Linked DNA regions of Callithrix jacchus. The protein of the gene in region 1 purifies or fractionates together with the protein of each later gene. This does not show direct contact. Links are inferred from orthologs where the notes say so. Each region holds a gene or a part of one and is shown on either strand. Other genes may lie near its edges.

Region 1 (3,745 bases):
ATTTATTCCAGCCAAGGAGCTCGGGGAAGTAAAAAAAAAAAAAAAAAAAAAAAAAAAAAAACATGTCTGGACTTGATTACGGAGAACTCCCTTTAAATCGAGGGTGGGGGGCGGGGGGGATGTAACCCTAAGAGAACATCCTTCAAAGGTATCACTTCTCTCGGTAAAAGAACCCCAGTCCTAGTCCCCACCTCATACTTCTCTCTCAAATACACACACACACACACACACACACACACACACACGAAGAAATCCCTGCAACGCTGGACACAGCTGCTGCGAAGCAATATCTAGGCAGGGATTTTAGTGGTATTTAGCATGAACGACAGGGCTCACTTTGCATGCAGTGAGCTGCAGCAGCGAGGCTGAATGGATGGAAAATCCCACTTTCTAATCTTACATAAACATCATTCCCACATATAGTTTTCCAGTTGAAAAGCGCCTATAATGAAGCCGGAGGTGACAGCCCAGGGAGGGTTTTTAACCATTGAGATGGCTGTCAGGAGTGCCGTAAAGACGACAGGAGCTTCAAAAGGGCCCCAGCCAACCCCCATCCCTCCTATCTGCTTCGCGATAGTGCCGGATGCGAGAGGACAGTACCCTCGCATACCTTCCCTAGCGTCTCCCCGTTCCCATTGTCAGCCCACAAATACCGTGACTTAGGGTGAAAGAAAGAAGCTGATCTGATTAGCAGCTCGGGCGCGCTAAGGGATTGCCGGATCATGCCTCCTAAGGAGGAAACTCTTGTGGAATCTTCAGGAAAGGGTGGTAAAGTTGAAAGGACCTTTTCTCCCTCCCGCTGTCTTGGTGATAAGCTCTATCGTTTAATTGGAGCTGAAGTGAGCAGCTACCAGCCTGATTTTTCATTACGGACTAATGTGCGTTTGCAACAATAAACAATTAATGTTGTTTGATTTTTTTACATTCAGCAACCCAAGCAAACAGCTGCCATCTCCGCTCGTGGAGACAAACGGCTAGTCCTTGACGTGCCGCCGGCTTAGTGCCTGCAGCGGAAGGGTCAACCGCAAGGAAACTTTGAGGATTCCGCCAGATTGGGTTGGGGGAGGCTCTCGTGTCGGGGAGGAAGAAGCGGAGGAAATTGTGGATACCTGTTGGCATCAGCGTTGGCGGCGACAGGTTTTTACTGTTTTCTAGCCTTGGCTGGAGCCTGGGAGAACGGGAGTAGGTCCCTTATGAACCTGTTACGTACTGGCAGAACCCAGGCAAGAGCTTTTTTTCCTCCGGTCCTGCGAGGGGCGTGACGAGCCCCCCAGGGGTTCTCGGAGGAGAAGCCGTCAGATCACAGAAAGCTCAGCTCTAGGTTCAGCGGTCCCTAGCATAGGGGCTACGGAGTCCTCGACTCAGGGGGGCCTCCGTGCGTGCAATCTCTCGAGCTTGGGGAAGACAGTGCATGGGGGTCCTGCAGGGGTTCTGGGCAGCGTCTTGGCGAGGGCAGAGCCTCGGGGCGGCTCCGGAGCCCGGCAAGTTTGCAGCGGGCACCGCGCCTCGCAGAGCTGAAGCTGCCACTTGTGGGAAAGCCTCGCGCTGGGGCTTTCGCAGCTGAGTCTTAGCCCGCAGCCCTTCTGCGGGGGTCGCCCTCCCTTGCCTGGGAGAAGAGGCGGTGCAGAAACCCAGCGATAGGACACTCGGGCTCCCTCGCCTCCTTTTTTTCTCTGGCTTGCACCCTCCGCACAGCGGGCGGCGGGTGCTTCCCATTCACCGCACGGACCCCGCAGTGAAGGCGCGCCGCTACAGCCGCGCCTGCCCGCGTTGGGAGGAGGCGAAATAGCCGGGTACCCGCAGGGAAGGAAACTGGCAGGAAAACTGGAGGGGCACAGCCTAGAGCTTGCTACTCTCCAGGATCTGTTGTCAGAGCAGTTTGCAAAAACAGTCAGGCAAAACCCTGAGGCGTACGCATCACCCACGGATATCGCGAAAGGCACAGTTTAGCCCCGAGCCTGTGGTAGGAACCCGCATCCAACATCTGAGAGGCAGGAGGCGCGCAAGGAGTCCGAAGGGGCATGGAAATTCCTAAAAGAAACGATCCGTTCTGGATCGTCGGGACAGAGAGAAAAACCGGGGTGGGTTGACGGAACACTTACTCTTGCCGGGCCCTGCGGTGGCGATGTCAAGCCTCCTGGTTCACAAATGGCTGGAGGGGCTCGGGGTCAGCTCTCGAGGGCAGCAAGTGCCGACCGGTCCCTGCGCGCTGGGCAGGCGCCTCCGGATTCCGTTCATGCCTCTCGGAGCTGCAGGGCTTGGTGCTGAGACGCGGGGCGGGCGCGCTGGTCTCTGGGTGTCTGCAGCCCAAAGTGCAGCTGGTGGCTTGATGCTACCATCTACGCACAAACCGGCGGCGGCGGCGGAGCTTGGAGAAAGCAGGGAGATTCCAAATAAATCCACTAATTCTGGGCTGAGCGCTCCGGCGTGCGAGCCCGCCTGCCTGCCAAATGTAACTGTGAAGTGATGTGGAAAAGTGAGCCGGGTGCCTCCCCTGACGGATCTCATTGGGCAGAGCGCAGAGGCAGGTCTACCACTTGGAAATTCATGCAAGCAATCCCCCTCCCCGCCCCCTCCCCGCCTTCCCCCTTCACTCTCCTGCGCTGGCTCGCTCGTTCTCTTTCCCCCTACCCAAGTGGGCGCACAACTTTTCGCTCCTCGCTCCCGATCACGCCCCGCGCGTCTCCGCCGCCAGAGCCACGGGGTGAAGATGCGCCCTTCCGTGCTGTGCGCGCAGCCGGCAGAGGGCCGAGCTCCGGCATAAGGGGGCTGGCAGACCATAACAGCCTGCGGAGGAGGTACCCGCGAGCTTTCTCTCTAAAGGTCTCACCTGAGCCCTGGGACTGGCGTTATCTTGAAAAGCGTCTCAGTGACCCGCAGCTATTTTCCGTAGGAGAAAGTGGACGCGACAGGGCAAAGGGTTGCACGTGGGCAGCTTACCTCCTCTTTATTCCAGGGGCCTCTTGCATGCAGAATAGGATGATTGTGAGACCCCTGCCTGCAACTCAGACGCTACGGTTTAAAGGCTGTATGTCGCGGTCCTGTGACGGAGCGCATAGCTGTCCCCGTGCTTCTTTGGGAAAAGGGGATAAGGGACAGCAGAGGGGCAGCCAGGAGGGGCGTGAAGCAATTGGTTGTGGGGAGGGGGGAGGCAAAGCAGAACTTGCTTGGGAAATAAGGGGAGGAATTACTAGGTTTTCTCAATGTGCCCCGTTCTCCTCATATCCTCTCAGGTACCATCCTTGCAGCTCTCCTGCCTCCAGCAAGAGCTGCCCTGTCTGTGGCCACTTCAAGTCTTCTGAGGGGCTGTGCTCAGATCTTGAGAAATGGCCACCCTGAGGTAAAGCCAGTGCAAGAAGAAGGGATCATGAATCAGAAGGTCCAGATTTCTCTTTTTTCAACACTGGGGTTAACATGTAGACAATGCCACTGCGATCATCTTTTAATAAAATTAGCTAAATATAAGACAAATTAATTCTTACCTGTTTGTTTGTTTTTAACCCTCCCCTCCAGGGGAGATCCCGCTTTAGTCCCTTCCCTGTGTGCACTAGACGTAAGCCCTGAGGGTGGATTTTACCATCTGGGAACAGAGCTGGAACAGAAGGGGGAAAGGGTGCAGGGGACCAGTCGCACGGTCTGTAGAGCTTGTACTGTCTGACTCAAATTAATGAAAGTGAACAGAATGAGAAAATAGGCACAATATGCTTATGATATTTATGCAAATTTGACATTTTTTTTGTGTGTG
Region 2 (3,745 bases), on another chromosome or scaffold:
GGCAGTTGGCATTACCATTTATATAGTAAAATATCTTTAAGACAAAAATAAAAGTTATTTCAAGAATATGCTGTCCCTGAAACATGAGCTATGCCTTAAACTACATATCCTACCTCCATGAGTGAATACGTAAGTGGGTTTCCTGCCAGCATGTATGTGTAAAGACCTATTGTTTGCATGTATTAATTGCGGTCCTGGGATAAAAGCACAGACGTAACTTTCACTGCTGCTTTTTGTACTCTCTCCAATGTTTTGGAGGAAAAATAAGCACAAACAATAGAATAGAGAAAGTGAAGCGATCGTAATTGTTGCAGCTTTGACAAACGCCAATTTTGCTGCATTACAATGGGAAACATTTTTCAGCCTATCAAAATTAATTAAAAAACGTTTTTAAAGTCAGTTAAAAATATTAGAGGCTGTCTAATCGATCGCTTTTTCTATAAACATACTTTGGTTTCTCAAGTAATACCGTAAAAACCTTCTTCTCCAAAGAAAAAATCCCCACAAATAAATCTATTGATACCTAGTGACAAGTGGAACCAGATAAAAATGGAATCTATAATAATTAAGCTAATGGACAGTGCTCCGGAGCGAATCCATTTCCACTAGTTACTTGCTCACAGTAGGTACTCAGAAGGACTTGTTGAACTGCGGGCTTGGCGCCCATTCTCCGGGAGTTCACAGCCCTCGCGAGCGGGATCGAGGGCGGCTTGGCCCGGTGATTCAGGTCGAAACTCAAGCTGAGCCGCCCGCTGCGGGGGGGGACCCACCATCCGGACAGTGGGGGGCCTCTGGGTGCCGCGAGACTGGGCTGCCAGCCAGGTCCAGCAGGGAGTGCGCGGCACAGACCGCAAGGTCGTAAGGCCCCGACACCCGCGCCGGGCCGGGAGTCCGCAGACTGGCGACGGGGCAGCGGCGGCGGCGGCGGCGCCCAGGAGCGCCCCGAACTTCCGCCCTCCGAGGACCCGTCCCGCCCGCCCCGCGCGGCCCCCGAGGGCCGGGGCCGAGGAGCCACCTTCCGCAGGCCGCGGGAAAGGCGCGCCGAGTCCTGCAGCTGCTCTCCCGGCTCGGGAAACGCGCGGGGCGGGGGCGTCGGGCTTGGGACGGGGGAGGAGACGGGGCCACCTTCCCTCACCCAGGCCTGCAGGGGCCCGGCCTCCCCGACGCAGACCACGGCGCCCTCCGGGGCCGCCCTCCGGTCCCGCGCAGCAGGCAGCCGCCAGCCTGCGCCCGGGGAGCGTCCGTGGGGAGCGTCCGCGGCGAGCGCGGCCCCCGCCCCGACCCGGAGCGCTCTCACGGCGGCGCACTGCCGGGCCGCGCACGGCTGGCGGCGCGGGACTACTTTCCCCCGCCCTCTCGCGCCCCGCCCCGTGTCCTCGCGCGGCGGAACGCTCCGCGCGGTGCCGGCGGCGGCAGGATACAGCGGCTTCCGCGCGACTTATAAGAGCTCCTTGTGCGGCGCCATTTTAAGTCTCTCGGTCTGTGGCAGCCGCGGTAGCCCGGCCCCGGGAGCGGAGAGCGAGGGGAGGCGGAGACGGAGGAAGGTCCGACGAGCAGCCTCAGTGCCCGCCGAGCCGCCACCGCAGGTCGAGGACGGTTGGACTCCCGCGGCGGGAGGAGCCTGTTCCCCTGAGGTGCTTGGGCGCTCCTTTCCTTATCCTTCCGGGGCTGCTCCCGCTTCCTCTCGGAGCCAAACTTCGTCGCAGGCGCGCGGTCCGGGCGGCGGGCTGGGAGCCGGGCCGGGCACAGCCCGGAGGCCTGGGGTGGGGAGCGGGGGTTCGGGTGGGGGACGGCGGGGGCGGGACGCGCCCGGGGCGCGGAGGGCGGTGGCCGGGCCCGGGTTCCGGTCGCGCTGCCCCTCAGGGGCCCCGGGGGCATCGCTTGCAGGGAGGGGGTGCCGCGGGGTCGCGTCCAGGAGCCCGGATGGCCGGCGGGTGGGAGTGGGGGTGGGGGTCTGTGGTTTCTGTGCGGGGCTCCGGCCTTGGCCGAGTTTGGGGGAGGGACCCTGTGCCTCGGGATGCGCTGGGGCCCGGGGTGGGGTGGGGGGCGGGGTGGGGACCGGGGGCTCCGCCTTTTCAGCTCCTGCGGCGAGTTGGGGTTCGGGGGCTCAGGCCGGAGCGCCACCCTAAGTCCCATCTGTCCTGGGGATCCGCCGAGTGGACTTTCTCTTAAGATTTCGGAAGAATAGAAGTGTTAATTTTATTATTATTAATTTTTGGTAATGCCCTGCCTGTGTGAGTTTGAATCGAAGCAACTTTAAACCTTAGAGTAAACTCTGAGTGCGGTCGGTGCGATGCGTCAGTAGGGTGTGCACGTAGAAAATCCGTGTCTTGCACTATTTTAGCGTACCGTGCAGGTGAGTGAAAGCGGTGGATAAAGTAGGGGAGTCTTCTGGGTTTATGGTAGTGGGCATGAGACCCTAGTGAAACAAGGGGGTGGAGGAAGGGCGAAGGTGATGGCTCACTGTTTGTTACCACGTAAACTGCAGGATTCGGCCTCTGACTCGGACCGCTTCGAGGATTTTGTTCGTTTGAAATAATTTAAATTTATTCAAATAGTTTGATGGCAGCTAAACTTGATTTTTAGAGCACGTTTTCTTTTCAGCGGAGTGAATGAAATTTTCCTTCTTTGCAAAACGGCCAAATGCAATTCAAGCAGTTGAAACTTCTCTGTTTTGTCTGGAGAGAGGACTTTGAACCGAGACTTTTCGAAGTTGAGTTCCTATAGCCCGCTTCTGAATCTGCCAAGCTGGAAAGCTTTGGCACTGGGTGTAGTTGTTCCCTTCGTTCTGTTCCCTTGTGGAGGGACATTGTCTCATACTTTGTATCTTGCAGACATCTGTGGTCTCCCCCGTCCCCGGCCCCCCACCCCTCGAGTTTGTGAGTGGTGAATGAAGAAAGACCAGGCTGCTGGTATGCAGAGGTCGGCAAAAGGAAATCGAGGAGTGGTTTTAGTGCAATGAGAGCTTTGTATCGTGAATAATGGTGGCTTAGGCTTGAAGGGACGGCAGCATTTCCTTTGGTAATGTCTACGCTAATGTTTTTCAGATCGCTAAGTTGTAAAGTAGTTTGTCTGGAATTTAGGAAGCCATTTCAGTGTTTGTCACTTGGTGAACGAACATTCAGTACCTTCAGATGTCTTCGTGTCGATCGATTTGTATTCATCCTGAGAAATAGTAAATATAGCCTGAAGTGTTATTTATATTACTATCCGCTTAAATTGTTGACATAAATTTCTACTTTGGAGTCGTTTCGTTTGAACTAAGGCTGCTGCGACATTTATTTTACTTTTATATTTAAATCTTTGAAAAATCTCTGATTAAAAAAAAGTACCTTTAAGGGTTTGAGGATGTCCTTTCACACCAGACAAAATTTAGTTAATTTGCGCCCAATATTCATTAATTTGACCTAACCTTTGTTCTGAAGGCCATGTACAAGGACAAGGCCCTGAGATTATTGCAACAATAACTTGAAAAACTTTCAGAAGTCTTTTCTGTAGGATTAAAGGAATGCTGAAACTATTCAAGTCTGAAGTCCTGGGGGTGGGGAGAAGTAAAAACCTGTGCTAGAGAGCTTAGTATAGCATGTAACTTTAGAGTCCTCAGGAGTCGTGAGTCTCCCACAGACCAGAGCAACCATTTAAAAGTTTTCAGGAGAAAACAACTTAAAAAAAAAATAAGGCGGCTAATAAAAAATGAAGCATTTAACAGTGTTCAGGTTTCAGAGTATCGAGGGGTTTTTAAAAC

The links. Proteins that work in one complex are often made in the same cells at the same time.
Region 2: the proteins of CDH8 (region 1) and CTNNB1 purify together in Homo sapiens (co-immunoprecipitation; 3 studies listed by BioGRID and IntAct, counting the BioPlex papers as one, with this or other methods). This does not show direct contact. The link is inferred for Callithrix jacchus from reciprocal best matches to the Homo sapiens genes CDH8 and CTNNB1.

The regions. Positions count from the first base shown.
Region 1 is NC_133521.1:19,763,077-19,766,821, forward strand, and holds the start of CDH8 (cadherin-8), read right to left. Parts: upstream 2,461-3,745; 5' UTR 2,103-2,460; intron 1-2,102. UniProt on the Homo sapiens protein: Cadherins are calcium-dependent cell adhesion proteins. They preferentially interact with themselves in a homophilic manner in connecting cells; cadherins may thus contribute to the sorting of heterogeneous cell types.
Region 2 is NC_133518.1:78,994,201-78,997,945, forward strand, and holds the start of CTNNB1 (catenin beta-1), read left to right. Parts: upstream 1-1,468; 5' UTR 1,469-1,499; coding exon of another isoform or gene 1,500-2,136; exon of another isoform or gene 2,137-2,356; intron 2,357-3,745. Other genes in the region: uncharacterized protein LOC144579968, read right to left, coding at 566-1,437, 1,500-2,136. UniProt on the Homo sapiens protein: Key downstream component of the canonical Wnt signaling pathway.